5 linked regions of the Coturnix japonica genome follow. The protein of the gene in region 5 interacts with the protein of the main gene of each other region in a pairwise test. Links are inferred from orthologs where the notes say so. Each region holds a gene or a part of one and is shown on either strand. Other genes may lie near its edges. The genes, in order: ABI2, ATF4, ZNF276, CEP70 and GCC1.

The links.
Region 1: the proteins of GCC1 (region 5) and ABI2 interact in binary tests that used the Homo sapiens proteins (3 or more experiments, as listed by UniProt). The link is inferred for Coturnix japonica from reciprocal best matches to the Homo sapiens genes GCC1 and ABI2.
Region 2: the proteins of GCC1 (region 5) and ATF4 interact in binary tests that used the Homo sapiens proteins (3 or more experiments, as listed by UniProt). The two-hybrid records come from large-scale screens. The link is inferred for Coturnix japonica from reciprocal best matches to the Homo sapiens genes GCC1 and ATF4.
Region 3: the proteins of GCC1 (region 5) and ZNF276 interact in binary tests that used the Homo sapiens proteins (3 or more experiments, as listed by UniProt). The two-hybrid records come from large-scale screens. The link is inferred for Coturnix japonica from reciprocal best matches to the Homo sapiens genes GCC1 and ZNF276.
Region 4: the proteins of GCC1 (region 5) and CEP70 interact in binary tests that used the Homo sapiens proteins (3 or more experiments, as listed by UniProt). The two-hybrid records come from large-scale screens. The link is inferred for Coturnix japonica from reciprocal best matches to the Homo sapiens genes GCC1 and CEP70.

What each region holds. Positions count from the first base shown.
Region 1 is NC_029522.1:11,988,949-11,995,136, forward strand, and holds the start of ABI2 (abl interactor 2), read right to left. Parts: upstream 3,862-6,188; 5' UTR 3,830-3,861; coding exon 3,713-3,829; intron 1-3,712. UniProt on the Homo sapiens protein: Regulator of actin cytoskeleton dynamics underlying cell motility and adhesion. Functions as a component of the WAVE complex, which activates actin nucleating machinery Arp2/3 to drive lamellipodia formation.
Region 2 is NC_029516.1:46,170,524-46,176,771, forward strand, and holds ATF4 (cyclic AMP-dependent transcription factor ATF-4), read right to left. Parts: upstream 3,597-6,248; 5' UTR 3,393-3,596; intron 2,433-3,392; 5' UTR 2,335-2,432; coding exon 2,121-2,334; intron 1,589-2,120; coding exon 738-1,588; 3' UTR 650-737; downstream 1-649. UniProt on the Homo sapiens protein: Transcription factor that binds the cAMP response element (CRE) (consensus: 5'-GTGACGT[AC][AG]-3') and displays two biological functions, as regulator of metabolic and redox processes under normal cellular conditions, and as master transcription factor during integrated stress response (ISR).
Region 3 is NC_029526.1:16,728,631-16,734,780, reverse strand, and holds the start of ZNF276 (zinc finger protein 276), read right to left. Parts: upstream 4,112-6,150; 5' UTR 3,998-4,111; coding exon 3,802-3,997; intron 3,065-3,801; coding exon 2,755-3,064; intron 2,652-2,754; coding exon 2,599-2,651; intron 2,402-2,598; coding exon 1,910-2,401; intron 1,165-1,909; coding exon 1,086-1,164; intron 11-1,085; coding exon 1-10. UniProt on the Homo sapiens protein: May be involved in transcriptional regulation.
Region 4 is NC_029522.1:18,781,382-18,786,964, forward strand, and holds part of CEP70 (centrosomal protein of 70 kDa), read right to left. Parts: intron 5,338-5,583; coding exon 5,278-5,337; intron 4,606-5,277; coding exon 4,506-4,605; intron 4,139-4,505; coding exon 4,050-4,138; intron 3,492-4,049; coding exon 3,417-3,491; intron 2,857-3,416; coding exon 2,757-2,856; intron 2,124-2,756; coding exon 1,953-2,123; intron 1,778-1,952; coding exon 1,631-1,777; intron 1,178-1,630; coding exon 1,009-1,177; intron 223-1,008; coding exon 108-222; intron 1-107.
Region 5 is NC_029516.1:515,806-522,304, forward strand, and holds the start of GCC1 (GRIP and coiled-coil domain-containing protein 1), read left to right. Parts: upstream 1-2,429; 5' UTR 2,430-2,622; coding exon 2,623-3,756; intron 3,757-4,952; coding exon 4,953-6,260; 3' UTR 6,261-6,499. UniProt on the Homo sapiens protein: Probably involved in maintaining Golgi structure.

The sequences.
Region 1 (6,188 bases), on a different chromosome or scaffold from region 5:
GGTGATATGCATCTCAAGAGAGCAAAAATAATTCTGGAATTTAAATAAGTATATAAGAAATTGACAGTTCGCAGAAGCAGAAGTTTCCTGTTGTAGGACTCAAGCTGTCATAATTACAGAAATTGCAATTTCTATGCCAATGGATGTTCCACTCTCTTCTTCACCTCATTGGAAGATGCTGTCAGAAGTACAATGACTTGGTTTGGCTTAACAGGACAAAGTAAAATTAACAGGCATGCGGAAAGCAACTAAGAAACTGATCAACCCATGGGCTATAATAAAATTACTGAGAAACAGGTAATTCTCACCATTATGTTTATTTAAAAAAAGCTATTGCAGGGTCTGAAAGCAGGTACTTCTAGTACCTAGAAGGATGGAATACTTTCAGAAAAGGAAAAAATATATATATTCTTCCCTGCCTTTCCCTTAGAAATATGGGAAGCTTATTTCTATGTATGAGACTCAATACCCATAGCAACCTGAAGGCTGCAAAGTGATGGAAATGGGAAGTTCGCTCTTCCTCTCCACACAACAAAGCATAATAGTCTAGAAAGACTAAGAAATCCAGATCCTGCTTGAAGAATCTGGCAAACACAGCACACTCACCTTCTGGAGGCTGGACAGGGCACAGGGCCGTGGCTTTTCACCCAGCTCTGCATGCTGCATTGCTCTCTGGCCTTGCCCCCACCCTGAGTCTGGTCCTGCTAGATATCCAGTGGCTGAAAATGTCTATCTAGGAATTCTTTCTGACTCTTTCAAAACAGTGAGTTCAGACACAAGCATTCAATTACTCTTGAAAGTTCTATATGCAATGCATTAAGTAAAAAAATGATTTCGTTTTTAAAAGTTCCAATTGTTTGGAAGCAAGTTAGAGATGAGCCCCAGACAGACTTGTTCAGAACAAGCTTAAAGAAAGTGAAAAGGCCAATGCAGCGCTGGAACTTACAGTGGTGTACCAGTAATAAAACAAGCAAGTCACACCAGTGCTCAAAAGGGTGTTCGTCATTTATATCATCATAACCAGAAACTTTCTTTATCACATTCCTGATCAAAAATAATGCTGGAATATGAAAATCTAGTAAATACAGCGCACTGTCCAATTAAGTAACTCTTGCTTTTCATGGAGATCAATGCAGACCTAAATATGTTTTTATACAGTAACAAGTAAATGAAGCAATCAGATTTTATAGAACTACTTTGTTGCAGTTTAGACTGAGAACTTGGTATCAGAATGCAGCACTAGTACACAAAGGCCTGCAGAAACAGTATACAATTTAACTTCTGATTAACATTGTATCAAATCCCACAAAAATCTCCTCCTAAATAACAGCCTGTATTAGCCCCCTCTTCGGGAAGTACAACAGAGAAGTAACTATGTTTTCTACGGTACTGAGAAGAGCTACCTGGAAAGCAAAGTTATTTGATATTGGCAGTAACAGAAGCTGATCAAACTGTCTTACTTGTGCACTTACACTTAAAACTTTCCAAAAATACATACTAATATTCTTATATAAAGTGAAATAATCACAGAGAAGGAGCTGAACTGTCGTACTATGCAGGTGAAAATCGTTCTTTACATGTTTCTTCTTGCAATATCCAAGCAGTAGCTTTTCATCTTTCATTGCTGCAGTTCTATTTTACTACATATTTCCAATATTTCCCAGTGACTTGTCACAAAATTTTAAGCTGATGTGCTCTGATATGCTGCTATAATACAGACTTCAGAGAACCTTAACAATTCATTTAACATTCTCTGTTGCTGAAGTAACTGAGCTCTGCAAGTATCAAGAACAATTTGTATAATGAACCACCAACATTCAAGGAATGCTTTTCACTTCATAAGTAGAATCCAAATGAGTTGCAAACACCACAGCTCTCTGACTCTGACCTGTCAGTCCCAACATGTAAGAGATTACTGTTCCATTATTCTCCAGCTGCTATGTAACTGTCAATGGAGGCAGAGATAGAACACATTCATCTTATAGCACTGAACTTCAAATTCTTTAAAAAACTGACCAACGCCTCTGCTTTTTGCAACAATTTATGTACCTGACAATAAAATAACCTCTCAGCACCAATTGAGCTTGTCTACTGACAAATACATGCCAGTGTCATTCCTGCAAGCACTGATTGCTGTGCTGCCTATCATTCAGTAGATCAAACTCAGATCTCAGTCATACACTGAGTCCCTGTCAGGAGACCTCAAGAATATCCATGATAAACCCTTCTGTCAGCAACGGAACATTAAAAGATTACAGTAGAACTAGTCGATCTTCTGGAAGATTTTCTGACTTTCTGGAAGATGATTCTCACACGCATTCCCAACGTGCACATCTCCACCAAATCCAAGCTTGCATAAAATATGTAATTTAGACTGAATTGGGTATATTGATTTTTGGAATTACTATTATTGGAAACAAAATCCCCAGTGATGTTAGTTGTATCCATTTCCCTTCCTTGCAGAAGGAAGACAAACAAAATAGCTTTGGGTATTTATCCCAATGAAGAGTTTATGCAGTTCTGGCACGGAGAACGTAGGGTGAGTTCTCCATCAGATTTGTTACAAGGACACTCACGTCACTCAATCCAGCATCTCCTCAAGTTGGACTCCTCTGCAACGTCACCTTGCAGTCTCTCTGCCAACCCCAATAGCCTAAGCCTACCATCATCACCTAGCTATGGTCCTCCGCTCCCCACTTGTTTCACATCTTTATTTTTCCAGTCAGTGATCCCATACTGCACCTCACAGTCAGCACCACAACACAATTTCTGCCTTCTGTTCTCACCTCCCTCTTACATCCCTGTGTTGCCGCGATGCTTGGACAAATTGCCAACAACTGCGGTGTGCTGCACAGCGGCCAGAACCCGGTGGGCTGACCAACCCAGCCTCACTCCCTGCTTTCCCTCACCAGCTGGCTGCCCTCGGCTCAGGCTGCCTTTATATGCCAGCTATGGGAAGACCCCCCTCTTTCCATTCTCTGCATGAAATATCACAGAATCTTGCTCTGCAATTTTTACTGAAACAATAAAAGTGGAGCTGTTCAATACAGATTTTATAATCCTTGGTTTACAAGAAGAGAACAGTAAAAGGTCGTGGGGAGAGCAAAACAACAAGCTAAATGCACCTCTTCCTATCCGGTTCTGCCATTCACAGCTCCTCTTCCAGAAAAAGCCCCATTTCCTTCTTTTTAAAACAGCACAAACATTAATGTCAGTTTATGACTACAACAAAATACTTCAGCGCGTTTCTCTTAAAGAACATAAGTCACGCTAATTCAGCGTATGAAACCTTATTAATCGCATCGCTGTTCGGTAAATGACCCCAGATCCGCAGACATTTCCCACTAGAGGTCGGCTGGTCGCTCAGCATCCCACACAGCGCACCCCCAATGCTTCCCCCTCGTGTCGCCCACCCGGGCACGGCCCGCTCCCCCTGCCATCACACAAGCGCTCTCGGGGACGGAAGGCACAAGCTCCGGGAGCCCTCTCACTGCACTCAGCACCGACACCACGGCGGAACGACCCGCGGCCGTTACTGATGCTGCCGTCCTGTTTTTGTTCCGCCTCACCGAGGAGCACGATGCGGCCCGGGCCCGGCGCAACGCGGAGCGGGGGAGGAAGCGCCGCTGCCGCCGCTCAGCACCGCGCCACGCGGACGGCGACCGCCAGGGCCGACCGCTATGCTCGGCCGTCGGGCCCCGCCCCGCCGCACCTGGATGTAGTTGGTCTCGCAGTACTCGGCCACCCGCTCCAGGTTCGTGTAGCTGTCGAACAGGGCCCGGCGCCCCCCGGGGATCTCCTCCTCCAGCAGCATCTGCAGCTCCGCCATCTTCACATCCTCTCACCCCACGACCGTCCGCTCGTCTGCCCGTCCTCCCTCCTGCACCTCCCTCCCGTCCTCCCTCCGCTCCGCTCCCTCTCTCCGCTCCCCGCCGCCAGGCCCGGCCTCGCGCCGCGGGCAGGAGCGCGCCGGACCCCCACCGCACCGGGGGCGGGGCGCGGCCGGCGGCTCCTCCTGCGCATGTCCCAGCAGCCCTAATCATGGCCCCGTGCGCCCACTGCCGGCACGGAGGAGCTGGGACGGGGCTGCGGGACATGAATGGAGCCGGAGCTGGAGCAGGAGCCGGAGCGACCCCCTGACCCTGCAGTGGCCCCTTCCAGTGACTTGGAGCATATGAGAAAAGGCCTCGTCTTTACTATGTGTGTGCGCAGCTGACCAGCTGGACTAACCTGCCTGCATCATTAGCTGCTTGTTATCACAGCATGTTTATGTTTTAATAGGGGACTCTTTCATGGATTTAAATTTAAAGATGAAGAGCCCTCCTGGCAGAGTGATGGTTATCCTATAATTCTCTGTACGCGTGCTGAAAATGATTAGAAGCAGTGTTTAAATTAGACCAAGTGAATCCAACTACCACTTTCCTACATTTACATAATCGACTCCCCATCTGCCAAGCGATGTGCTAAACTAATTTTAAGTCCTTATGCTCTCTGAGCCCCAGTTACAGCATTCCACACATTAACTTCTCCTTCTTTCTTTTGTGCAGTACCTTCCCTTGGTACAACAGCTTCAAGACTGGGAAGCAAATGTATTTCCCACCTAAATATACTGAGAAAACAATATCCCTAGGAACAAGCAAGGTAAGCATGTCGCTTACTCCAAGTTCCCTCACACGCATCAGATTTTTACCTCTGCCCATTACCCAAGGGAGTCCCTGCGCACAAAAACGCCCAGACAAGCAAATCATTTGGTCACGTGCAATCTCGTAGCTGGGCACTCTGTGTGTCCTACATACCACAGTCTGAATTACCAATTCTTAATTAGAGAAAAGTAATAACGGGGTAGCTTGGAGGCCACTGTTTTTGGCACCATGGGTAGGCATTGCAATCAAAAGCCTCTTCTGTTTTCTTTGCTATATGGAAGACAGAACGGCACAATCCCTGATCCCATTTGGACAGATGACCTGGTTGGATCTCTGACACACCATGCTGCAGGTTTTCACTTAATTTGTGTAAGGATCTCTGTTCTGGCTTTATGACATTCTCATTTCTGAACATTTTTTCCCTCACAAAAAAAACAAAAAACAAAAAACAACCCAAATTCCATGTTTTGTATACAGCAGAAACAAAACCCCCACTGTATCACATTGAGCCAAGCAGATCTGCGTCTGCACAATGGGCAAAGCACTTTGACAGCAAACATGGGCATGTGAACTGACCATAATACAAACAGGCCCATGCCCTAAAGCTGGCAGGTAGCATTTACTGCAGGAATGGGGAAAGAGGAAAAAATGGGGGAATGAAAAAAAATTATCTGTAGCTGAAATATATACTTTTGCTCCCTCAACAAAGACAGAGTTGTGCCATCCTGGTCTGTTTAGATAGCGTTGATCTGCCTCTGGCTGGATGCAGACCTTTGCTAGCCTCATAATGCAAAGCACCCAAAGGGAACAGCAGCACATTTAACACTCGAGGCTCTGCCACAATCTCAGGATGGCCTGCTACAGAATGAGGCTCATACACATCCAGTGCCCACAACAAACGCTGTCAGGATCCTGTGGCATCTTGGGCACTCAGCCGCCAGCCCCTGCTGTGAAACAGTGAAGAACCCACACACTCTGCAGCTGCACATTCTCCTCCTGCTTCCGCAGGCATTCACCAATTTGCTGGGCAATCAAGATCGTAACCACAGATAATCTTTCTGCTCATGATAAACTGCTGCTGGGTAAAATACCGACTGTACACAGGACACAAGTTACCTGTGGGGTAGTTCACATCTCATGGAAGTGCTTGCACTAACACCACTAGTTCAGAAACAGGCAGAGGCAGTGCATGACTGACATCCATCACCTCACAGCACCTCCGGAGAGGCACAGGACACACTGCAGACATTCCGTCTTTCTGTTCTCGGCCGTGTCTCATTCTAAATATCAAGCCTTTTTTTTCTAGGAATTCAAGTTCTCTCTTGAACGTTATTTCAGCATAGCATTGTGTGAGAAGGATGGAGCCAGTACATGCGGAGAATCTCTCTAAGGGAGGGAGAGGTCAAGTTAAAGAGGAAAAATAATGATCTCTTCCTAACATTTCAGCTTTAAAAGAACACAGGCAACAAATGGTCTCAAAGACAAACCAGCACAAAGCACAGCTGATCATCAGGTTCCCTTCCGAGGTTCAAAGAACAAAGCATT
Region 2 (6,248 bases), about 46 Mb from region 5:
TGCCAATGTGAGATCAGCCAGGAGGCTCTCTAATGCTCAGATGCTTTCTCCCATCTCTTAATCCAATGCTCTTATAAATGCTAAGTGAACATGCAGAGGAAGAGCCAGCCCTAATCTCCAGCCAGTGCAAAGTCTTAACTAAGTTACTAAGTATGGAAACAGCATCATTGCAAGGGGCACCAGCATAAGATCAGCTTGTTGGCTGCCCCTGAAAGGCTGCAGACACACCAGCTCCATGTGGATGCTTGTGCAGTATGATTGGACAAGTCAGTGCAAGAGAGAAGGAATTAACACCCTGGGGAACTGCTTGAAGCCATCAGCTTGTCAAAACCCAGTAACTCCCACAAGAGACTTCTCCAAACCATATTTATAAACATACTTACATGGCTCCTTGTAAGGCTGAACCTTTATGATTTTGCTTTTGCTATTCAAGATCTGGGACTATCTCCACTTGATCCCCTCCATTTTACTAGATATCTGCAAGTATTCTCAGCTACACATGAGCTGTAACATGTACTGTATCACTTGAACCACATTAACAGTAAATGCTATTTGCACACTTGGGTGGAGCAGCACATTCCAGCTGGTTGAAGCCCCAAACGACATGGTATAAACCCTTATTTTACAGATACTCAGTTACCACACAAAATTGCAAGTTTACTATAAAATAATTTATTAGACACCACACAGCTTAAGCAGCAAGCATATATACATGCACACAAACACTACTGACTACCCTACTCAGGGACTCTAGCTCTTTTGACTTTGGCCTTCCTCACCTCTTCAATCAGATCTTTCAAGTACTGGATTTCCTTACTCAGGGAATCTGCTTTCTCTTTCAGGGCCTGATTTTTCTGTTCCAAATCTCTGCACTCCCCTGACAGAGCCTCCTGTTCTGCCCTCTTCTTTTGCCGGTAACGTGTGGCAGCAGTCTTATTTTGCTCCATCTTTTTCAATTTCTTATCTATTTTCTTTTCTCCTTTCACCTTTGCTGACACTACCTTCTCAGCAGGGTGGTCATATGGTTTAGAACGCAGAGAGCCACGGGTGGCATCTGCAGGGAACTGGTTGTCATTAGGGGATCCAAGTGAATTGGTAGGACTGTGCTGGGGCGTTCCCAAATAAGAGTCTGGGCTCATGCATATTCCACTATCATCAGAATGGTTCTCCTCCTCTTTCTCTGACTTCGTGATCACTACCAGAAAGGTGGGGGCCTCCTGTTTCCTTTCACCTTCCAGAACATCCACTTCACTACCTAGTTCTAAACTAAATGAATGGTCTGGAACAGAAGTCAGAGACCCTGGGGAGAGGGGAAAAGGCCACAGGGAGCCTAATGGGGCCATGGGATCTACTCCAATTGGAGATTCGGGGAGATTGGTGATTAGATCAGGTATGAGTGGAGGTTCTTTGTTGTGAAATTCCTGGGTGGTAGGGTTAAACAGGAGATCACACGTGTCTTCCAACGTGGCCATCAGGTCGTCTGGTGAGACGGTGGCTTCCAGATGTTCCATACCTAACAGGGCATCAAAATCAAATTCCTTCAGATCCATCTTCTCCACCATCCACTCCATGCCAGAGAAGGCATCCTCTAAACAAGGAGAAAAACAGTATATTTTTCGATGAGCCAACACAGAGATTCTATACCAGTTATACCAGAAATAGTTATATCTTCCCCCATTCTTTTTAATGGTAAAAAGATCGACTACCAGACCCCTTCCCCCTACTATGAACTGGGGAAGTCTGCATGATACTATGTATCTGTCAGCTGCTGACATTCCATCCCTCTTAGTCTTAGCTCTCTAAGAATTCAGGCCTATTTGAAACACACCACCACACTTGTTTCTTGTGACCTCTTCCAGGGAAGGCTACTCTTAATAGTTGGCATGTTATTAAAAGGGCAATGCAAGTGTCATTTTTCCACAGGCTGGTCGACTACAGAGCCATTTGCTATTGTGTATAATCAGTGTTGTATGGATGCTTCCCAGGCCAGAAGACACATACGTGATGTTACCTTTCCATTTAGAGAACTCGTGCAATTTATCTTTGAACAGGAGGATTACATTATTTATTATGTGCCATCACCTTTGGTGTTACTTCCTGCACATGAATTAGTGCCTTACCCTGGCTGCTATCTATGGTGTTGCCTAAACTGTCCACAGTGAGCCAATTGGAGGAGACTGCCTTAGCCTTGTCGCTGGAGAACCCATGCGAACCGAGGGGCTCGGCCACCTCCAGGTAGTCATCGAGGAGTCCCAGACCTTCCTCAGCCACCAAACACGGCTGGCTGAGGGGGGAGGACTCCCCCAACAGCATCTCGTTGTTCAAGAGGCTCATCTTGGTCAGGTTTTAGCGCTTTGACGTCAAAGGATGTAGACAAGGAGAGGGCCTTTTTGTTGACTACAGCAGTGCTGCTGTGCGGTGCCTTGAAAAACCTGTAAGACAAACATTTTTCGCATGCATCAGTGCTTGTTCTACTGGAAAAACAGCCTTCACAACAAAACGCAGCCTCAGGGAGAGTGCTGTTGCACCAGACTTGTACGACTGCAGCATTTTCAGGGCTGTTTGCCTCAAACTCTTGCTTTTTATTTGTTTGCTTTCATAAAAGCTTTTCTATTCGCATCTCCATTGCCCAGCACGGCATTGCCAGCCCCACGCCCCGCCGAGGCCCCGCCCACCGCGCCCTGACTCACGTCACGCCCACGCCGCAGCCATTTCGCGATCTGCCGCCTACCGCTCCCCACCCGGCCCCGCCGCCATTTTGTGCCGTGACACGTTTTCACCCCGTGTCGATGGGAACGCCATCAACGTGGAGGGGTGGGGGGGAGGGGAAGGTGACAGGACGATAGAACGACAGAGCACCTTTTGGTGCTAGGCTGACTTATGGACCAGGTGGATTCGGATGATAAATACCACGACAGCCTTACACCCTTCTATCAGGCTGGGTTCGACACCATTCCCCCCCCCTCCCCCCACAACCCTCCTCCTCCCCCGGCCAGCAGCGCCGTAGCATTAAGGGATTATCTTAATGCCCGCTCGTTGGAAGCCCCGTTTAACTCCTCCATCCGCTGTGGGAACGCCTCTATAAAGACAATCCCCTATACTACTAAGACAACCGTCTAGGGAGCTAATATTCTCACAAAAGCCTTACAAAATAGAACAGCCCTGAGCTTTCAGGATGTGGGCTTCTCTAAAATACAGGGTATTATGGCTCATTTTTCCTCTTAAAAGTGTCATTTCCTGCCATTTCCGTCACCCTCAAGTAGGTTTCCAGCCCCCACCCTATTAACCAGACAGCTTTTCCTATGGGGCGTCCGTTTCGCACCCCAGAACCCCGCTTTATGAAGCAGGGGGTGGCTGTCACACAAGGCGCACTCCCCACACGCGCTACTCACGCCATGGTTGCAGATGCCGGGGATGTGCCGAGGCCGCCGCCGCTGCTGCTGCGCCCGCTGCACTGGCCGATGCCGCCGCTGGCCCTGCCGCCCTTAGAGAGCCATGGCGGCTGGGGGGGGGGTTGGTTGGTGCTCCGGTCAGCGCCGCGCGGAGAGGTGCTACGCACGGTCACAGTTACAACCTGTCAGCTCAGCCAAGGGCACACAATGAGGTGGCAGCGCGCGCGCTCCGCTTTTATATACCTTCACGCTAATCAAAACGAGATCCGGCCTGATGTGTCCTTCCGCTCTTCGTCACCCGCCTCTCGTCAGCACCCTTCAGCCTGTAGACCTTCAACTTTCTGGGCCGCTCTCGTTCCATCCTGCTAAAGATTAACCAAAAAAGCTGTCAGCAATAACTTTTCCCTCCATCGTGGGCTCCTAGACAGAGGGACTATATGGTGTTCCTCCGCGCAAACACCGCCCAGCCGAGATGGGAGGCCACGTGATACAGCAGCTGAGGACACTCCTCCCGCCCGCCGCGGAGCGCAGGGGGATGTGGGGGGGCTGCTGCTCCTGCCCGCCAACACAGCCAGTGAGCTCTGCGCGCCGATTGGCTGGTGGCGTGGTAACCGTGTGAGCGCTGAGCCGCCATTGGCTGACGCCCGAAAAGGGAGAGATGGTGAGAGGCACGGAGAACGAGGAGCCGTAAAATGGCGGTGGCGCTGGTTCTATTCTCTGCTTCACATTTCCGTGGCGTGTTCTCTTTGAAGCACCACGCCTCCTTTGTTACTGACAGCTCTTTATGCCCTCCACACGAAGTCCTGTCCGCTCTCCCTGTGCGTTCTTAACAGCCCCTCCAGACGACGTCCAGCAGAGTTGAGGGCAGAACTTTGCTGAGGAGAGTCACTGCTCCCTCAGATAAGTGGAAAACTCCCTGCCTGCTACTTGCCCCACAGAGATAGGGCTGTGTGTTTGTGTCCCTGACACCCTGCTAGCTTTGTAGCTGAGCTGTAACATTGGCCTGGGGTGGTTTGTGAGGAGATGCAAGAGCAGCCATTACTCAATGGAGGAGAGCATTAGTGGGTCATCTACACAGCCTCACGGCCCTAGTAAACAGCCTCACCTTGGGAAGGTTTTCAAGCAGGTTTGCATTATGTTTTATCTGAACTAAATCAGCCAAATGAGAAGGCAGCCCTGCTCCATCACGTCTGGCCCTGTATGTTTATAGCAGCTCCTCTGGTCCTCACCTAGCCCTGTATGAAACCCATGGGGAACAGATGTTTTCAGTCCCCTCGTGATTCTCTGAGGACACTAAAGCACCATATGCAGCTCTGAGTGAGGAAGGTGAGCTGGGAAGGTTGCTACCCATGTTTTCTTTCACTACCTGGCCTTTGGTTGCTTTCCCACATTACCAGCCCTACAACACACCATCAGCTCTGAAGATTAATTATAGAATGACTTAGGTTGGAAGGATCATCAAGCTCCAACCCCCCTCCATGGATCCTTGCTTGCTCAAAACATTATCACCCTGTCAATAAACTCCTCTTGGCTCCACTGCAAAAGGCTCCCTTGTTTTCCATTTAGGGCTTGTTAGTATTTGTGTACAGCCATGGCCTTGGCTCAGTTTGCACAAGTATACCTGCCTGGAACTCATTAAACAGCTCCACTGATAATCCCAGAGGATGGGCATGGCCAGGGAGGACAGTCATGGCCAGGTTTCTACTTTTAGCAGCAGGATGTCACCATCACTGCAACAAATTGGGGTATGTATGTCATTCCAGCTCTGTAAACTGAACATTGGCTGCTGAAAGTAAAAATACAGCTTTTCCAATGTGCTGTGGTGTTTTGTGGCTTTTTTGTTTCTCTGTGGGTGTGTGAATGTGTTTGTTTTATTTTTGCTTTTCTAGAATCAAGCATCGATTTTTAATGGCTCACTAAGATGGAAGAGGCAGCAGAGAAAAATGCCCTCCAATATCAGAAAACACGATAGCAACTGAGTGATCTCAGATGACTCCTCTGATACGTGCACCAATGAGCAGGCAGATCTTGCTTCAAAGCAAAATTCAGAGGATGGATGCAGCAGCTACTGAAGAAGCCTGGTGGGTGATTGGCTTGGGTGGATGAGAGGCAGCATCTCTGTGTCTTGGCTGGTCGAGGGAGGGCTCTCACATCCCCCACATCCAACTGCAAAGAAAAAAGGTGTTTGTACCACTGTAACTGTAGCAAAATAAACAGAAATGCTTCTCTTGAAATGGTAATTACATATTTTTGAAGAAAGGACTCTGGGTATGTGTGAGTAAGAATTATGCAAGCAAAAATGATGCATGTCATGAGGAACTTAACCCAGATCTGCCTGTTTCCTAGCTGCCTGCTTCCCTTTTTATTTTGCAAATGTGCACATTTGTCTACATTTTGAGCACCAAACAGTTTTGGGTTTTGTTTTGGTTTTTTTTCATCATCTTCAATTCAGGAAGTGAAATGAGGTAACAAAAAGCCAGACATTTAGTAACAGTGTTATTTCTCCCTGTTTCCTGAAAGAGACTGCAGAATTATTGTTACACAATTTAATGAGACATGTCTCAATCCATTACAAAATACGTCTCTGCTTTTGCAGGTATTACATCACAGTTTTCTCCTTTGAGGAGTGAGTTTTGTGACTGAGCTGGATAATAATTCTTCAAGCTTAAGTAACCATTCCTTAGGAATTTTTTGTGCAAATAAAATAGCAAATGTTTTCTAAGCGAAGGGCTAATAGGTACTAGCTAACTCAAATGTTCCCTTTTCAGTGCTGCAGAATATGTTTGTGGCTTAGATGTGTGGAGAGAAGCCTGATAGCTCTGAAGGAAACTGAATTTGCAGCACAAAAAGATGGCT
Region 3 (6,150 bases), on a different chromosome or scaffold from region 5:
CAAGAAGTCTCTGAGAAAGAGAGAAGATGCCCTTTACCAACGCAGGACTTGGCCGACACTTCAGCAGCAGCAGCAACATGTTCTTTATTTCCAGCATTCATCTTCCCCATAGAACAGCATGGCAACCCAGGCTCCACGTGTTCTCCTCCCCCACAATCTCCCAAAGCAAATACAGCCCCCAAACACAGCAAAGAGCAGAACTGGTTCCTCTTAGGACCAGATCTCTGTAAGAATCACTGAACTGCTGCCAGGAGAACAAAAATGGCTGCTTCTGAGAGGGTCTGATGTTGTAAACTACTTCCTATGCTAATAAAAGTCATTTTGTAGAGCAAGAATGTCTGGCACAGGTGAATTAAGCTACAGGTCATCCAGTATTTCCTCATAGGGAGGAGCCACATCTTTCTGTTTGTTTTTAAATCCCAAGCTACACAAGACGCAATTAATTCTGAAGCCAGGAAAGGGGCAGCGGGTTCCTGTGGTGCTTTCGACACGACAGCTGACAGATTTAGCTGACACACCACAGTAAGTTTGCACTTGGCCCCTCCGTACCTCCACTCAACCGGCAGCTGTTTACACACCTCACTAGATCTGGAGGGCTCAGCCAAATCTTAGCTCAGAACAATCTCTAAGCAGCCTGCATCCCACTCGGGCTTCCTGTACTCTCCTCCCTGTGCACAAAAAGGGTGATTTCAGAGCAGCAGCTCCTGCCTGCGAGCCCACACTGAATGCTCACAGCTGCAGAGGGGAACCAGCAGCAGCTCTACCAGCACACAGCCCGGAGCAGCAGCTCTGCCAGTGTGCAGAACCACACAGCCCCACACCGCCCTGCCACGGCTGCTGCTATCCCAGAGCATGGGGCAGTGCACAACACAGCCAGCTGTGCTGGAAGCAACCAACAGACAGCGCACGCTGTGTGTGCAGCACGTGGGAGGGAGCCGAGTGCTACGACCGTGGCTGCAGAGAAACCACCCTGCCCCTCAGTGCCACCTCCCAGGGCCTTCTGAGGACCATGGAGAAGCTCTCCGCGGTCATTTCATACTCGCAAAGAAGACATTAAGGCTATTTTAAACCCACTCTTCTCTCACCCCTCAGAAAGGTCACTGAACTCGTCTTTTACCCGCTCATCCGACGTTGTAGACAGAACCTGCTTCCCACTCAACTGTCCTAGGGAACGAAGGAGAACAAGGAACGTTACTAGGAAAAGCAACGAAAAGGTCACTACTGCTCTGCAACCAACAGACGCCTTCCCCAGTCAGTTCCGACTACCTGTTCTCTTTCCAGCAGCAGACATATCGTCATGTGACTGCCGGAGCTAAACAGATCCCAGCTTCTGAAACTCAAAATCAGTGTTAAGCCCCATATTTTAAAAGACAGAAGAACGCAGCAGCAAACCTGTATTAAGGCAGCCCAAGAGCAAGGCTGCCTGTGCAGACAGAAACGGCTCCTGGGCCTCATGCTGCTCACATTGCCCTGCAGTCACAGCGGGGTGGGAAACCCCCCCCAGACTGACACATAGCCAGGGTTTGGATTGATCCCAAATAACCACCTGGCAAACAGACAGAATGGGACCGCTCTGTACAGCCTGAATGGTGCGTGTCCCAGGTGCGAGCAGGGCCAGATAGACACAGCCAGCTGAACAGCCACATCTCACCCCATCATCAGAAGGGAAAACAATGTGCAGAGGCAAGGAGACCAGCTTGGCTGCACGACAGCTGGGCCAGCCAAAGCTTCACATCCCCCTTCCCTCTGCAAGACTAGAGCTGATCCTCTGGGCAACCAGCACTTCTGAGCCACAGGTCAAATGCCCTATTAGTCCCCAAGGAGGGGCAGCCAGGCCCAGCAGCGCTCCCTGGGCAGATCTCTGTCTTACCCAGAGGCCTGGGGTGCGATCAGAAGGGAAATCCCTTACCTGTGGCACCGCTCAGTGGTGACACGGGCTGGGGCAAGGCTTTCTCCTGTAACGAGGCTGTGCTGTCCTGCTGAGAATGAGATGAATCCCTGTTCTGCGATGGCTCATTCTCCAACTTCAGTGGCACTGCTGCGGTCCCTTTGTTTGCGGGCTGCTGACAAGGAGTTGTCCTTACTGGAGCATGCTGGGGTTTGGGAGCAGGAACAGCCTCAGCATTGTCCGCCCCGTTGTCCGTCAAGCGCTGCGCCATGCTCTTGTTCCACTCCCGTTTGACAGCCAAGGCATTATCAACGAGCACTGTGCTACAGTCAGAATCCGTGTCCATGACGTAGTCGTGCCCGTCCCCGCAGCCCCAGACCGCACGGATGATCCCGCAGTACTCAGAGGACAGCACGCTCTGCAGGCTCGGCACCGACTGGCAGCCCCCGGCGTGTGCGTGTGCCCACGTCACCAGGCTGTGCAGGCACTGCGGGCTGGAGGTGATCAGGTCGACTGTTGGAAGGGGAGAAGCAGCAGGCACAGGGTCAGAGCCTGCAGACCCGTCCCTTCTGCACACCCACACTGAGGCACACGGCAGCAGGTGAGGGAGGCAGCCTACAGGCTGCTCTTTGCATCCCCCATATGCCAGAACCGCCCTCAGCACCCCTGACAACCAACCCTTCCCTGCTGCTCCGTGAGCAGCTACTCACCCAGACAGGAGGCACCTCCTTCCACACCAGGCTGGGCCGGGGCCGCACCGCTCCTGCAAAAGCCAGAACAGCACAGGTAGCATTAGAGGGACCATACTGAACACGCGGCCATTCATTCCTCCCAGCGACCACCAGGAGCACAGAGATGCAACCTACTTTCCTTTCGACTTGACGTGGCCGGTGGGGGACGCGTTCACCCTCTGAATGAAGGTCCTGAGGACGCTGCGGCACTTGTAGAACTGAGCGTGGCATTTCTTGCAGACAAACTGCGGCAGCGCTGGGTCCTGACGCACCGCGACCCCCACGAGCCGCTGGAAATCCGTGAAGAAAACCTGATCCACGCGGCGCTGCTTCTCCGAGTTCTCCCCCATCACAGGGACCTTCCCGAAGGCGTTGCGCAGGCTCCTGGATGAGAACTTGCCGTGGCAGAGGCGGCAGTACCCGGTGCTCAGCGCTCTGCCGACCCCTGCGAGAGAAGGACGGGATGCGGCTGCAGGAGCACGCAGCAGCTGCAGCCCGAGGGCGATGGGACACTGCGAGGCGACATCCCCGTCCTGTCATCCGAGCCCACGCTGCCGTCACAGCCCCGGCTTCAGCACCAGCACTGACCGGGAGCGAGACCTGCGTGACTCCGAGCAGCGCTGGGACCCCACAAACCATCCCCGTATGGCATCCCCGCCCTGTGCTGCTGCTCCAGACCTGGCTCCGTTGTTCTCAAGGCTCTCACACATCCAGCTCCCACCAACGCTGCTCCAGCTCAAATGCTCCTATTCCCCCTCCACTGTTTATGGTACGAACATGCAGCAGCCGCAGCGCAGCCCCGTGCTGCCATCACCGTGACGCTCCCACAGCCGCACACGGCACCAATGATGAGCTGCACACCGGGGATGGAGCAGCCGCTGCCCCATAGCACAGACCGACCGGCAGCTCGGCTCTGCGGGCTGTGTCCGTGCACTGCCCGGTGCTGGCTGTACCGGGACTCCCGGCTGCTCACAGCGCCGTGACGGCCCGCAGCGCCTCCAACAGCGCCCCGTTACAGCCGTCACTGACCGCACTCACACACACACACACACACACAGGCCGCGTCCCGCAGCTCGTTACCCCGTGTCGGTGCCGCTCATGTCGCCGTTCCCCCCGGTTCCCCCCGGTTCCCCCCGGTCTCTCGCTGCCCCGCAGCCCGTCCCGTCCCGTCCCGTCTCTCACCTCCGTCCGCCGCCCCGCCGGGCCGTGCCCATCCGGACTCCTCCGCCGCCACCGGTTCCCACCCCGCGGTCGGTCCGGTCCCGGTCTCCCGCTCCTCCTCATCCCCTTTGTCCCTTGGCCGCCCCCGTCCATCGGGTGATGCCGCCCCGGTGCCGCCCGTTGCCGCCAGGAACCGCCCGCGCCGATCGCGCTTCATCGCGGCCGCCCGGTCCCGCCGCGCCCCGCCCGAACGGCGCCCTCTTGTGGGCCGGAAGACCCGCCGCTGCACTTCCGGTTCGTGCCTTCCGTTTTGAAGTCCCTCCGGAAACACTCTCCGGCCGCACTTCCGGTTTCATCCCTTCGCTTTTTAAGTTCCCCCCGGGAACTCCGTGTCGCTGCTCTCTCCGTTCCGGCCGTGATGGCGGCGGCGGGCGGTGCTGGGGATGGAGCCGGGCCGGGCCGGGCCCTGCAGGGCGCCATGAGGGCGGCGAGCGGGGCCTTGGAGATGGACAGCGCGGGGAGGACGCGGGTGAGCAGCACGGCACGGGGCGGGGGGCCGTTATCCTACCGCATAACCCAGGTCTCGTGTCCATCCCCGCATCATCCCCATTGATGTCACCGCAGGACGCCTATATTCAATACCTGCACAGCATCGCCCTCATCTCGCAGGCCCTGCAGGACGAGGCGGGGCTCACAGGTAACAACCCCCCCCCCCGGTCCCTCCCCCCGCCCCTCGCAGGGCAGTGACCCCCCATATCGCAGAGCACAGCGAAGGGCTCGGCCCCGACACCCCCAAGATGCTGAAGCTGGCGGAGCAGTGTCTGGAGAGGGTCAAGTCCTTGGCGGCCACGCTGGGTGAGTAACGGCAGCACCAGCGGGACCGGAGCCTTCAATGGGCTGATGGAGCCGTGTCATCCCGCACAGGGAAAAACAAGGGCAAACCGAGCACAGCGGGGGGACCCGCGCCCATCTCCAGGCACCGCAGGGTTTTCTCTGACGAGGGAGGGAAGCTGTCACCGTTCCTGCCACCAGAGATCTTCCAGAAGCTGCAGATCGCTGAGGCACAGAGTGTGCGCAAGTGAGTGGGGCTGGGGGACAGCGAGTGCAAATGGACCACAGCACAAATCCTATGGGGAGGGGGGAAAGGAGGGGCAGGGGGACCACAGTGCTCCACTCAATGGAGAAAAGCAGGGCAGGGTTGGGCTCTTCTCCCAAGCAGCAGGTAGGTGCGGAGCTTAGGGACACGGCTTATAGATAGAGGTGGTTATGGATGTTGTGGGGTGAGTTTGTGGATCGCAGAGCTCTTCTTCAGCCTGGAAGGGTCCCAGCTGGCCAGGATGCCTGGCTCACATTGAAGGCCACCACAGTGTTCAGCTCATTCCCTGCAGGGAGCTGACGCCACTGGAGGAGGCATCGCTGCAGAACCAGAAGCTGAAGGCTGCCTACGAGGCGCGGGTGGCACGGCTCAACCCCAGCCAGGCCCTGCAGAAAACCTCACTGGTGAGTGGGGAGCTGGGTACAATGAGTCTCGCACTGGGACTCTGAGCAGGTGTCACCCACGTAGTGTTCATTGCTTGGCAGACGCTGTCTCTACAGCGGCAGATGATGGAGAACCTGGTGATAGCCAGGGCACGAGAGGAGACCGTATCCTTTCCACTAAGGGAGTGCCTAAAGCAGGGGACTTGTGTTTGTGGCTGTTACTTCATCAGCCACCTCAGGGCTGTGCCGGGTGAGATGCTGGCTCACTGCTGCGGCACTTCCAGTGCCTTAACTCTGCCATGGCCCAGCTGCAGAGGAAAATGGAGGAGCGGCGGCTGCGGCTGCAGGAGGCGGCCAACAGGTGAGGGCGGGGCTGGGGGGTCCCAGTGGGGACCGTGAGGGTGCGGAGCTCCCTGCAGACCCCTCACCTGGCACTGTGGCACTCGCAGGAGGTTCTCCAGCAGTGTGGCCCTAACCCCTGAGGAGCAGGAACAGAGAGAGCTCTATGCTGCCATCCTCGAGTATGAACAGGACCACGTGAGTATGCGCTGGAGGCTGCTGCTGTGGATGCTGTGAATGCAGAGGGCTGTGCTGGGAATCAGGGAGAGGGGCTATTCCCACTAACCTGCTGTGAGCACTCCCCCAGGACTGGCCGCGGCAGTGGAAAGCCAGGCTGAAGAGGAGCCCGTCAGACCTGTCCCTGGTGACGGGGCTCTTCTCCTGCCTCCTCAGGTACTGTGGGGCTGACAGGGGGCTGTTCACATCGCTGGAGGGCCACAGCACTTGCCGTTGTCCCCTGCTCACCCCTGTCCCTCTGCTTCCAGCTTCCCAGAGCACCCCATTGCCCAGCTCCTGCGCAAGCTGCAGTGTGCGGTGTACACTCGGCTGTAC
Region 4 (5,583 bases), on a different chromosome or scaffold from region 5:
ACTGTAGCAAAGGACAGAAGTCTCCTCCAGTATCAATTTTAGGCAACTCTGTCAGTTCATAAGATTTCTGTTTGCAGAACTGTTGCCAGTGGAACAGAACTAAATACCTGTGGATGTCTTGTGTCCCCAGGAGCCGCCGTAGTTGTTCAGTCACATTCTCGTTAATTATGTCACACAGTTTCCCAACTGTATCCACCACCATGGTGGGTGGAGCTGAACTATCTGGAAAACACAACTTCATGTTTCTGGTAAGAGTAATAACAGGAAAAGAAGACATAATTCAGTTCTTGCAGGTGCCCAGATTCTATTGAACTTTCATGTATCATAGAGGGAACTGTTTCCTGATATTTTGTTAGTAGCAAGAACTTGCTCTGTTTGCTTGTTTTAACCTGCTTTGGCTACTATGATGAAAGGTAAAAATACCAGGTTCTTTTCCTTTCCTCACTCAGTTTCAGATGAACTAATTGTGAGAAGGTGTCCACTGAACTCCATTGCTTTGTAATTACAAGGGGATGAGAAGCTTCTTCATTTCCTGTTGGTGGTGGCAGGCAGGAAGTCTGCTTCCCTCTTTGAATGAGACTTCAGAAGGCTTCAGTAGTTTAGGAGCCTTGCCCTCTGGCTGTACACCCTGCAGCACAGCCAAGCCTCTAAACCCATGAACTCAGGGAAGATTAGCAGCTGCTGTTCTTCAGAAGTGCAAAACCAGAAGAGAATGAATAGGCACCTGGAAGTGACTACTGGTGGCACTTAGTTCTTGACATTCAATACTTAAAAGAACAAGTAAACATTTAGGATTGTAAAGGGGTGTTCTTAAGGACTGAACATGCTTACCCTGGAATGAGTTACTGAGAAGAAATCTAGAGCAAAGTTTGTTATTCCAAAACAATTTAAAACAAACAAAAAACCTTATGTTTCAATTGATAAAGGAGAATTAGTAAGTAAGTGCTCATAAAACAAAGCTTTTCCTTTGGAAATAGCCTGAACAAGTGGTAGGTGATGAGTCTTTACCTAGTTCCAGGAGCTCATGGAGATTTCTCATAGCATTGGTCAGTTCCCCAAGTTTTGTGTACACCTCATTCATTCGTGGGTAAATGCCATTCAGAGAATTCACATCAAACAGCTTCTGGAAGTGAGAGACTATTGCATACAGTGTTGGTAAGGATGGTGTCTGGCTGTTCTGCAGGAAGCAGAAAGGGTAACTTTACTAAGTTGTTGCTTCTTTTAACCACGAGATGTTCTTAAAACTAGTCCACAAATTAAAACAGGTGTAACTTCCCTTATTAAATTGAGGCATTTTGAATATTCTTAAATCTCAAGAGAGATATCCAGCAAGCCAAAAATACTCTTATGAAAACAATATTCTTTTGGAAGCTTTGTTTTCTGATGTTTATTAAGTCTGTTTAGGTATTCTGAATGCTGACTGAGAAAAAGATGGAACAGGATAATACCCAGCACTACAGGGTAAGGCAAATTCATGGTTGGTCAAATGACCTTGATTAAAGCAGTCTTCCCCGGGGTGAATTTATCCATTATGTGAAAGTAATCTTGGAGAATTGGACCTCTTCCCACAGCTATTTCTTAAGCCCCAAAAGGCTTTGAAATGCAGAAGTCTAATCGTGTGAAGAATTACCTTTTCCTTGTTTTCTATTTCTTCTAAAACTGCATCTACTATGAACTGAAGGTCTTGAACCCGTATGGATTCTGTGTTATCTTGTGGATCCGCAGTGTGCCAGGGTACCAATTCCAGAGACAGTTTTCTCAGTGACCTGTGCAAATCCTTTTAAAACAGAGGGGGGACAGCTCATTGTAGTAACTGCTTAAATATCTTGTCCATTTAACACCAGGTCAGACAACAATACAAACTAAAGCACAAGAACACTGGATAAAGAAGCACCGTGAGGTTTTCAACAGATTAAAAGAGGGATACAAAGCTAAGTGTGAGAGTGCGTTACCTTTAGGGCCACCAGCTGGTCTGCCCACATTTCTATAGTGAGTGGGAGGTGCTCAAATCCACATTCCTGTCCATTCTCTTTAATATAATTTTGCACTGGCCCTTTGCTGCGCCTGTATATTAATGGAGGAGCTCTTGGACTTCGTATAATAGAGTCGATATTGGACAGCACCTTCAATAATAGATAGAAAAAGTTATTACTCAAACTAAGCTTTTTATTATAAATTCCCTCACCACCAGTCACAATCATTTAAATCATAACTATTTCTGGTAAGTTACCATCTATGACTTTTATAGAGGCACTCAGCATGTCATAGATTCAAAGATATAAAAAGAAACTAAGTAGAAGAAAAGTAAAAGTAATGCACGTAGACTTCCCATGGAGGGAATATTTTGTTTATCTTCTCACAATGTTGTTACTTACACAGTTTATATTTTGTTAAGCTTTACTATATTTGTTCTTTCTTAAGGAAAAATGAAAAGCTATCATCTTCTCAGTAATTCTTAAAACCATAACAGAAAGGAATGCCTTCCACAGGACATTGATCTTTGTTCTCTATCCTGATGAGAACTCAGGCTAAATCATTGATTGGAGGTTTGCCAAGCTAGTCTCTGGTTTGTAGTAACTTCATGTAGTTTACATTAAGGTAGCCTATATCAACTGCCATAGCCAGAACATTACACGTTGTGTTCAGGGCTTTCCTCCAGAGTTCAAAAGAGCATGCTTCAGTTTATGCAATTAAATAAGGCTCGTATTTTGTTATGAAAGTGCTAGATAGGCATGGTACCAATGAAGTTGGCATACCTGTAAGTACTGCTGGCAGACTGCATGCAGCCGATCTTCTGCAGTACTCTCAGGTTCTTTCTTTTCTTCTGTTCCTTCTCTGGTACTGCTCCCTGAAGACCTACATGCCAAATACATACAGTAGGTCACCAGTAGGCCAAATATGTACGGTAGGATGGCTTTCAGCCTGAAACTACTGAATCATACCCACTGCATGAGTGAAAAGATCATTGAAATAGAATGTAAAATGGAGAACTGAACATTTTTAAAGCAGTGTCTTTTTCAGATAATGTAAAATGATAAAAATATATAGTATTCAGTACACGTGTACACAGATAATTAAGTGAAATTCCAGGCTGACGCTTTGTCATTACTAGACTTCTGTTTAAGTATCGGTCCTGCCTATACTGCCTGTGGTAACACTCCAATCCCAAAAGGCAAAATGGAACTACAAAGAGACAGTGGTGTGCACCAATTTGGACACTGTGCCACCACTTCAGAGATTCACAGGGTATCTTTGGAGATGCAGAAGCATTTGCTGCCCATGACCCAGGCTCCAAGGGACTGTGGTGATATAAGGTACGTGCTTTGTAAGCTGCTATCTATGTGATTGGTTGCAGAGCATCTTTGCCTTTATGTAGTTCAGAGGATTCGTGAAAGTTACTGAAGAAAAATAGTTACTGGATAGTTTTCTTTAAAGTTTTCTCTAGTTTCTTCACTCGGTGCTTGTAAAGTTTTAATTCCTGTTCAGTTGGTCTGTTGGAAAGAAAACATACCACATTATCTATCTTGCATTGAAAGTCGGCTATAAAATTCAGCCAGGTGAAAAAGTAAGAAAGCTTTACTAGTGCCATAACTTCATACTGGAAATGAAATTCTACAACAAATTACATGTGGCAATAACTGTAAAATAGATATAGTATAGCACCCAAACCAATTTTGCTGGCTCAGGCTTTCTTACTAAAACCACCTGCTTCTCTATCTGTCCAGCAGGTTTTAAGTGGAAGTCAGGCTTGGCAGTAATGCTACCAAAGTGGAAAGAACCATTTTGCCCACATTCACTGTTCCTGCCCTAGCTCAATGAAGTGTAAATATCAATGCAGTTGTCCAAGACAATACAGCGTACACTAAGAGCTGTTGTTATTAGCAGTGTAGGAAGGAAAGGTTGATTGTTGTTGCCCTATTAAAATGCTAATTATTTTATGAATGGATTTTAAAGGCAGATTTGACACTAGGCTTCTACAGTTGCTGCACTTTCAGTTTCCTTCTCTGTGAAGCAAAGCCTAGAGATGTGCTTTTAAAAACGTTTCTCACCTTGTTTCCAAATCTTTCTTGAGATTTGTATTTTCAAGCAAAAGTTGTTCATTCTTGGCCTTTGTTTCAACAAGCTGATTCTGAAAAGACTGCAACAAACACTGTATTATTAATTTCATTCATTCTGTAATCAACAAGCTTGAACACTTTCAAGCATGTCAGGTGCTAAGAAAGATTCCCATTTGCTTTATATTATAAGACAGCATAAGTGAGGAAACAGACCTCTTTAAGATCAAGATCCTGCTGTATAGCCCACAGGTGGAGAAGCAGAGAACTTTACAGCAAAGTACTCAATCTTTGCATAATAAGATGAAGACAGTGAATGCTGCCCAGAGAGTTTACGAACTTTGAAGACAGAAACAAGCAGACAAGAAACCAAACACATGCATTTTTGTGTGGCTCTTCACGGGTTACCATTCAGTGATCCGCATGGGCTTATTCTTAGCAGTTCCATACCGTGAGCAGCGCTCTGTAATTTGGAGTAGCATCCAGATTTAAGAAGTTTTCTTTGCTTTTTACTTCTTTCTGTATATGATCTTCAGCTTTTTTATATTGCCTGTTAGGGAAAATAAATTGTTTCAGCTTATTGCAATTCAATTGGCACAAAGATCTAAGTTTGCAGGTACACATGTCAAAATTTCCATACACTAAACTACGATCACAATAGAAATACTGTCACTGGTCTTCTCTATTGTTCTGCAAAGCTGTTTCATATACTAATTGAGTACATTTATTCCTCAAGAGAAATTACAGTGCAAGCAAATCCAATTTCAGCTTTCTAGATAATAATCTCAAATTATGGGAATGTCTCTCAGGTATCTGCTTGTTTCTCTGTATCATGTAAGCAATATGATGGAGCTGAGAAGCTGGTATTTCTTTTTTATTTTTCCTTCTTTCTTTTTAGGAAACGGGTGAATTGTGCATAGCTAATGCAGTAGTGCTGCCTGTAAACCTCTACAAAAGGGAAAGCCGAAAAACAAACAAAGGATTATAGCTCATGTGTCTAAATACAATGCCCTCCTGGCTGTATGGCCTGACTGCGCAGCTGCTCAGACTGAGAGAAATTTCCAGGATTAATCCAAACTTCCAAGACTATTACAGTGTTTGGCTGTTTCTTATGTTTTAGTGACATCTAGAAAATAGAACATTTGCCATTCCAAGCTTTAAGAACAACAAGGAGAAAGAAAACTTTTAGCAGTAGGACCACAAGGCATTAGATGAGACTCACCGTAGCTCCTTTTTCATTTGATTAATTTGAGATTCATAATAATCGATTAGACAAAGAAACCTGAAAAAGGAAAAATGGTATTTTGAACTTAAGATATAGTTACCAATCTATTGGAACAGGATAGCTTACACAGCTACACTGTATTTTAAAAGTGACTGTTTCTCCCTTATATCAGTCGCAGTTTTCCAAAAAAAGAAATATAGAGACATTAAATGCCTATTAGATTACAAGTGGCAAAATGACTCAAGAGGAGACAAAAGCTAAATCCTCCTGACAGCCCTTACATCTCATGGCTATGTTCACCCA
Region 5 (6,499 bases):
GAGAGGGGCCCTACTGACCAATGGTGGGGATGGTGGTGACGATCTCCCCCAGCTTCAGCTTGTACAGGATGGTGGTTTTGCCAGCAGCGTCCAGCCCCACTTTTTAGGATGAGGGGGGTGTCCCTTTGGGGTGGGGGGTGTCCCTATAGGATGGGGGTGTCCCTTTAGGGTATAGGGGTGTCTCCCTTGGGATGGGGGCGTCCCTTTAAGGGGTGGGGGGTGTCCCTTTAGGACCTCACCAGCACCGCTCCATGAACTGTCCCCATTCCTGTCCCCATTCATCTTCGAGCTCATCTTCATCTTCATCCCATCCTCATCTTTACCCACATCTTCATCCCATCTTCATCGTCGTCTTCAACACCGTTCTCACCTCATTTTCATCCCTCATTCTCATCTTCATCCCACCTTCATTCTCATCCCCAACCCGTTTTCAACCACATCCTCATCCCATCTACCTCCTCATCCTCATCTACTCAACCCCATCCCATCTTCATCTTCATTCTCGTCATTCAATTCTCACTCTCATTCCCACCTCCAACCCCACCTCCATCTCATCCCCATCCTTATCCCATCTTCCTCTTTATCTTCACCCCCATTCCATCCTCATCTTCATTTTCATTCTTATTATCATTCCATCTTCATTCTCATCCCTATCCCACCTTCATCCCCATCCCATCCTCATCCCATCCCTATCCCAATCCTCACCCATCACATCCTCATCCCATCCTCCCCTTCATCCTTACCTTCCTCCCATCTCCATCCTTACCCCATCTCCATCCCACTCCTCATCCATCTTCCTCTTTCTCTTTATCTCCACCCCATTCCATCTTCATTTTTCATCCTATTATGCATCCCATCCTCATCTTCATCCCCATCCCACCTTCATCTCCATCCCATCCATCCTCATCCCTCCCCATCCCATCTTTCATCCTCACCCACATCCTCATCCCATCCTCCCCTTCATCCTTATCTTCATCTACATCCCATCCTCATCCCCACCCCCATCCCAACCCCATTTCCATTGCACACTCATCCTCACGCTGATCTCCATCCCATCCTCATCCCCATCCTATATTCATTCACACCCCCATCCCACCTACATCTCCATCCCCATCCCCATCTCCACCTCATCCTCATCTTCATCCCATTCCCATCCCATCTTCATCTTCATTCTTATTATCATCCCACCTTCATTCTCATTCCCATCTCATCTTCATCCCCATCCCATCTTCATCCTCACCCACATCCTCATCCCATCCTCCCCATCATCCTTATCTTCATTCCCATCCCCATCCTCATCCCATCTTCCTCTTCATCTTCATTCTTATTCCATTCCATCTCATTCCTCATCCCCATTCCCATCTCATCTCATTCTTATTATCATCCCATCCTCATCCCCATCCCATCTTCATCTTCATCCTCACCCACATCCTCATCCCATCCTCCCCTTAATCCTTATCTTCATCCCCATCCCATCCCATCCTCATCCTCATCCCTATCCCACCTTCATTCCCATCCTCATCCCATCCCTATCCCATCTTCATCATCCTCACCCATCACATCCTCATCCCATCCTCCCCTTTTCATGCCCTTCATCCTTACCTTCCTCCCATCTCCATCCTTACCCCATCTCCATCCCCATCCTCATCCCATCTTCCTCTTCATCTTTATCTCCACCCCCATCCCATCTTCATCTTCATCCTTATTATCATCCCATCCTCATCTTCATCCCCATCCCACCTTCATCTCCATCCCATCCCATCCTCATCATCATCCCTATCCCATCCTCATCCCATCTTCATCCTCATCCCATCCTCCCCTTAATCTTTATCTTCATCTCCATCCCATCCCATCTTCATTTTCATCCTCACCCATCCCATCCTCATCCCATCCTCCCCTTCATCCTCATCTTCATCCCATCCCCATCCTTACCCCATCTTCATCCCATCTTCCTCTTCCTCTTCATTCTTATCATTCCATCTTCATCCTCATCCCCATCCCATCCTCATCCTCATCCCTACCCCATTCTCATCTTCATCCCTATCCCCATCCTCATCCCATCCTCATCCCATCTTCATCCTCACCCCCATCCTCATCCCATCCTCCCCTCCATCCCATCCCCATCCCATCCCCCCCCTCACCCCATCCTCATCCTCATTCATACAACGATGCCCCGCCCCCTCATTAAGCCCCGCCCCCAGACTACAAGGCCACGCCCCCAATCCTATTAGCCCCGCCCCCTCTGCTCCGTTCTGACACCTGATTGGTGGCCGCTCCTCGCCCCAAACCCTTCACTTTGCGCATGCGCAGCGTGGGGTGCGTCACCTCCAGTGGGCGGGGCTTAACGTGCAGGGCGGAAGTGGGTGGGAGGGCGGAAGTTAAACAAGGCGGAAGTAGGTGGGAGGGCGGAAGTAGTAGGGGCGGAAGTTAAACGAGGCGGAAGTAGGTGGGAGGGCGGAAGTTAAGCAGGCCGGAAGTAGGTGTGCGGCGGCGCTCTGGCTGCCGGTACCGACTCGTTGGTTGGGCCTGGAGGCCGCGGCCTGCTGTGGCCCGGCCCGGTCCGGAGGTAAGGCCTGAGCCCTGCGACCTACCCGCCCCCAGGCCCACCCCCATCCCGGAACCATGGAGAAATTCGGTATGAACTTCGGAGGAGGCCCGAGTAAAAAAGAACTGCTGGAAACCATCGAGTCGCAGAAGAAGCAGCTCCTGAATTACCAGGCCAGGCTGAAGGACGTGGTCATCGCCTACAAGAGCCTCATCAACGAGAAGGAGGCCTTGGAGGCCAGCCTGAAGGTGTTATCGGCGTCCCACGAGGCCGACATTGGGTTAAATGGGGCTCAGGCTCCATTTGTGGCCCCCTCCAGCTCTTCCTTTGCCTCCAGCTCTTCCCTTCCCTCCAACTCTTCTTTCCCCTCCAGCTCTTCCCTCCCCTCCGGCTCTTCCCCTCCTTCCAGCTCTCCCCATGTTGATCCCATGGATGATAAGAGCTCAGTTCACAGCGAGGACAGCATGGGAACGGCCGCCAGCGTGGACACAACAACCAGTTTGGGCAGCACGAAGGGCGAGCAGGGACCTGAGGATGAGAAACACGCAGCAGCTGTTAAATCAGATGAGGGGAATGGTTCCGAGGTCGGTACTGGTACCAGTAACAGCAATGGGGACGTGCCCTGTGCTGCCATTGAGGCCGATAAGCGGGTGCTGCAGCTGAAGAGCCAATTGGCCACATTGACCAGCGCCCTGTCCACGGTGACGCAGGAGAAGTCCCGCATGGAAGCGTCATATCAAGCCGACAAGAAGAAGATGAAGCAGGACCTGGATGACGCCATTAAAAAGGCGGAGGATGAGACTGACAGGTTGGAGACGGAGCTGAGGGTTGTACAGGAGCAGCTGGCAGAGACCAAAGCTCGACTGATCACGCAGCAGCACGACCGAGCCCAGGAGCAGAGCGACCACGCTGTTATGCTGAGGGAGCTGCAGAAGCTGCTGCAGAGCGAGAGGGCGTTGAGGCAGGACGCTGAGCTGAAGCTGGAGGAGACCAGGGAGGCATTGGCCGGCCGGGTGTGCATGGCTGATCGTGCTGAGGGCTACGAGCTGCAGATCAAGCAGCTGAGCCAGGAGGTGGAGGAGCTGAAGAGAGAACTGCAGGCTGTTCAGGAGGAGAGGAAGAAGCCGGACCCCCGGGTGCAAGACCTGCAGGAGGAGATGGCCAACCTGAAGAGCCACTTCCAAGCGCAGCTGCTGCAGGAGATGAGGAAGGTAATTCCCTGCTTGAGCCCTAGAGCAGCCCAATGTAGGGGGTACCAGAGCAGCAGATGGAGGCTTGAGGAGCCCAAATTCTCCCTGTGCCACATGCCACAAAGTCCGAAAGATTTCAGATAGGAGAAAATACCATAGTTTCATCTGATGGGATCATATACCCTGAGGAAAATTAAAGCTGTTGGCAATGCAGTGTATAAATCAGTTAACCACGGGTGGTTTAGGAGCAGTCTTTGTGGGAGTTACGTGGTGAGCATCGCTTGGTTCCGAGCAGCAGCTGGATTTGGGAGGAGAGCAGTGGCAATGAGCGTGCTCTCATCATAAATGCAATGCAAGGTTCGGTTCGGACTCTCTTAAAGGGAACTGACCTCCACATCCCCCTGCATGGAACTGTAATAGGTGAGCGGTGAGGCAGGTGGGCGATAAGGGCGGCCTGCTGAGCGAGGTGCTGGGCTGTGCATCTTGCTGTGTGTCTCTGCAGGCTGTGGGGCAGAGGGATGGAGGGCTTTGCTGCTGAGTTGGCAGCTGGAAGGACACCAGCATGGGATCCTCATTTCCCCACAGTCTGGAATAAGTTTTCAGCTTTCTAATCTGAAGCCTCTAATTATCAGCTTCGGGCTGATGGGATGCGATTAACCTTGTTTTGGAAGTGATACCCAGCAGCTTCTGTACGACAGGGCTGAGGATGGGCTGATCCCAGCTGTGTTTTGGCTCACAGTGGGGACTGAGGAGTGGTGCCACCTTCCACGTGCTCTTTAGGAGGTCAGATCTCGATGGTGATAGAAGCTGTGAGCTCCAGTGTTTGCTGTAGCTACTCAGAGCCCACTGAATTACGTTAATATTGGTGTAACAAAGCTTAGCATTTAGGTACAGTTAGGTGTAGGAAAGCTTTAGGGCACACTCAGACATGAAAAAATCCCACAGTGAGGTGAGCTTTGTGCTTCATGCCCTGCACATGCCTCCAGCAATGCACATTAATGCTGCTAACAGCAGGGAACAAATACAGAAACGCACTCGGTTTGTTTCATCCTTGAGTCTCTGTTTTAAAGATGGGCGTGTGAGAGTGTGGGGTGGGGGAGGATTGTTTGGAAACTAGGGAAAGGGTGTCCCTGTGCTTGCTTGGAGTTGTTCAGAGCAGAATGAAGGCCTGTGTAATTGCAGGGTGGTCTAACACCGCTGCATTTCTTTGCTTACAGACTGCACAAGCAGAGGAGCAGCTCCGGCAGCACGCCCAGATGGAGGAGCAGCGCGTGGCCGACCTGGAGGGGCAGGTCTCTGAGGTGTCAGGGCTGCTGGGCACCTACGAGAAGGCCAAACAGAAGGACCAAATGGTCATCCAGAAACTGAAGGATCGCATCGTGCAGCTGGACCAGGAGAACAAAACCTTGGCCATCGCAGCCTCCAGCCGATCCCCTGCTGATGTGAACGTGGAAGAAGCCAATCTGGATGTGAACGTTCTCAAGGATAAGATGGAGAAGCTGAAGAAGCTGCTGCAGGTGGCAGCAAAGAAGAGTCAGCCCACGCTGGACATCGAGAAGCTGTGTGAGCTGGAGCTGCCAAAAGGTACCGAGGCCGGGGATGGTGAGAAGGCCACGGCTCTGTACTATCAGCAGGAGCTGAAGCAGCTGAAGGAAGAGTTTGAAAGGTACAAGATGAGGGCACAAGTGGTTCTCAAGAACAAGTCAGCCAAAGATGGCAACCTGGCCAAAGAACTGGAGGAAGCTCAGGAGCAACTGGCGGACCTGAAGGAGAAATACGTGGTGCTTCAGCTGTCCTCCGAGGAGGTGGAGAAGCAGCACCAGCTGGACATGGAAGCCAAGAGGCAAGAGTTCTGCCAGCTGCAGCAGCTGCACAGGCAGGAGCTGGAGCGCTGTCAGCTGGAATACAGGGAACGGGCACTAAAGCTGGAGGAGGAGATGCACAAACAGCGGGACCGGGCGCTGGCGGTGCTGGCTGAGAAGGACCAAGAACTGGAGCAGCTGAGATCCGTCATGTTGCCTTACACCGGGCTGCAGGGCTCCAAGAACTACATGACAGCAGGGACTGACACTGCGAGCCATGACCCCTCGGCTAATGGCTCCACAGAGATCCTGCCCCAGGCTCTCCACCTCTCCAGCAACGCGGAGCCCACCTTCATCCTGTATGCAGAGCAGCTGGCCCGCAAGGAGGTGGAGATCGTAGCGCTGAGGAAACAGAAGCACAAGCTGGAAATGCAGGTTCATCAGCTCCAGGAGAGGGTCCTGGTGGAGGAGGAGAGGCACCGGGAGGAGGTGTCAGCACTTCAGAACGAGATCCAGAAGAACGTCAGAGATAAGAGCAGAGAAGGAGCCAACCTGGAGTACCTCAAGAACATCGTGTATAAGTTCCTGACGCTGCCGGATTCCCTCGGTCGCCAGCAGACCCTCACTGCCATATTGACTATTCTGCACTTCAGCCCGGAGGAGAAGCAGGCTGTCAGGAAGCAGTCAGCACACAACAGCTGGTGGCTGGCGGGGAAGAGATGAGGCGGTCGTTGGTTATCCCTCACTGCCTGTGTCTAGGGCTGAGCTCACCTGCCATGTGGGGCAGCTCTTCCCCAGCAGAGCAGGGAGCTCTTAGCACAGAGCTGTGCTTGAGCTGGTGCTGTCAGCACGGATTTAAAGCAGAATTGTGCCATGTGAACCAGCAGGATCACATCACTCTCCTGCTCCGAGCTGGAACCTGATTGTTTTTAAAAGATAATCAGGTTGGGGCTCATTTGGAC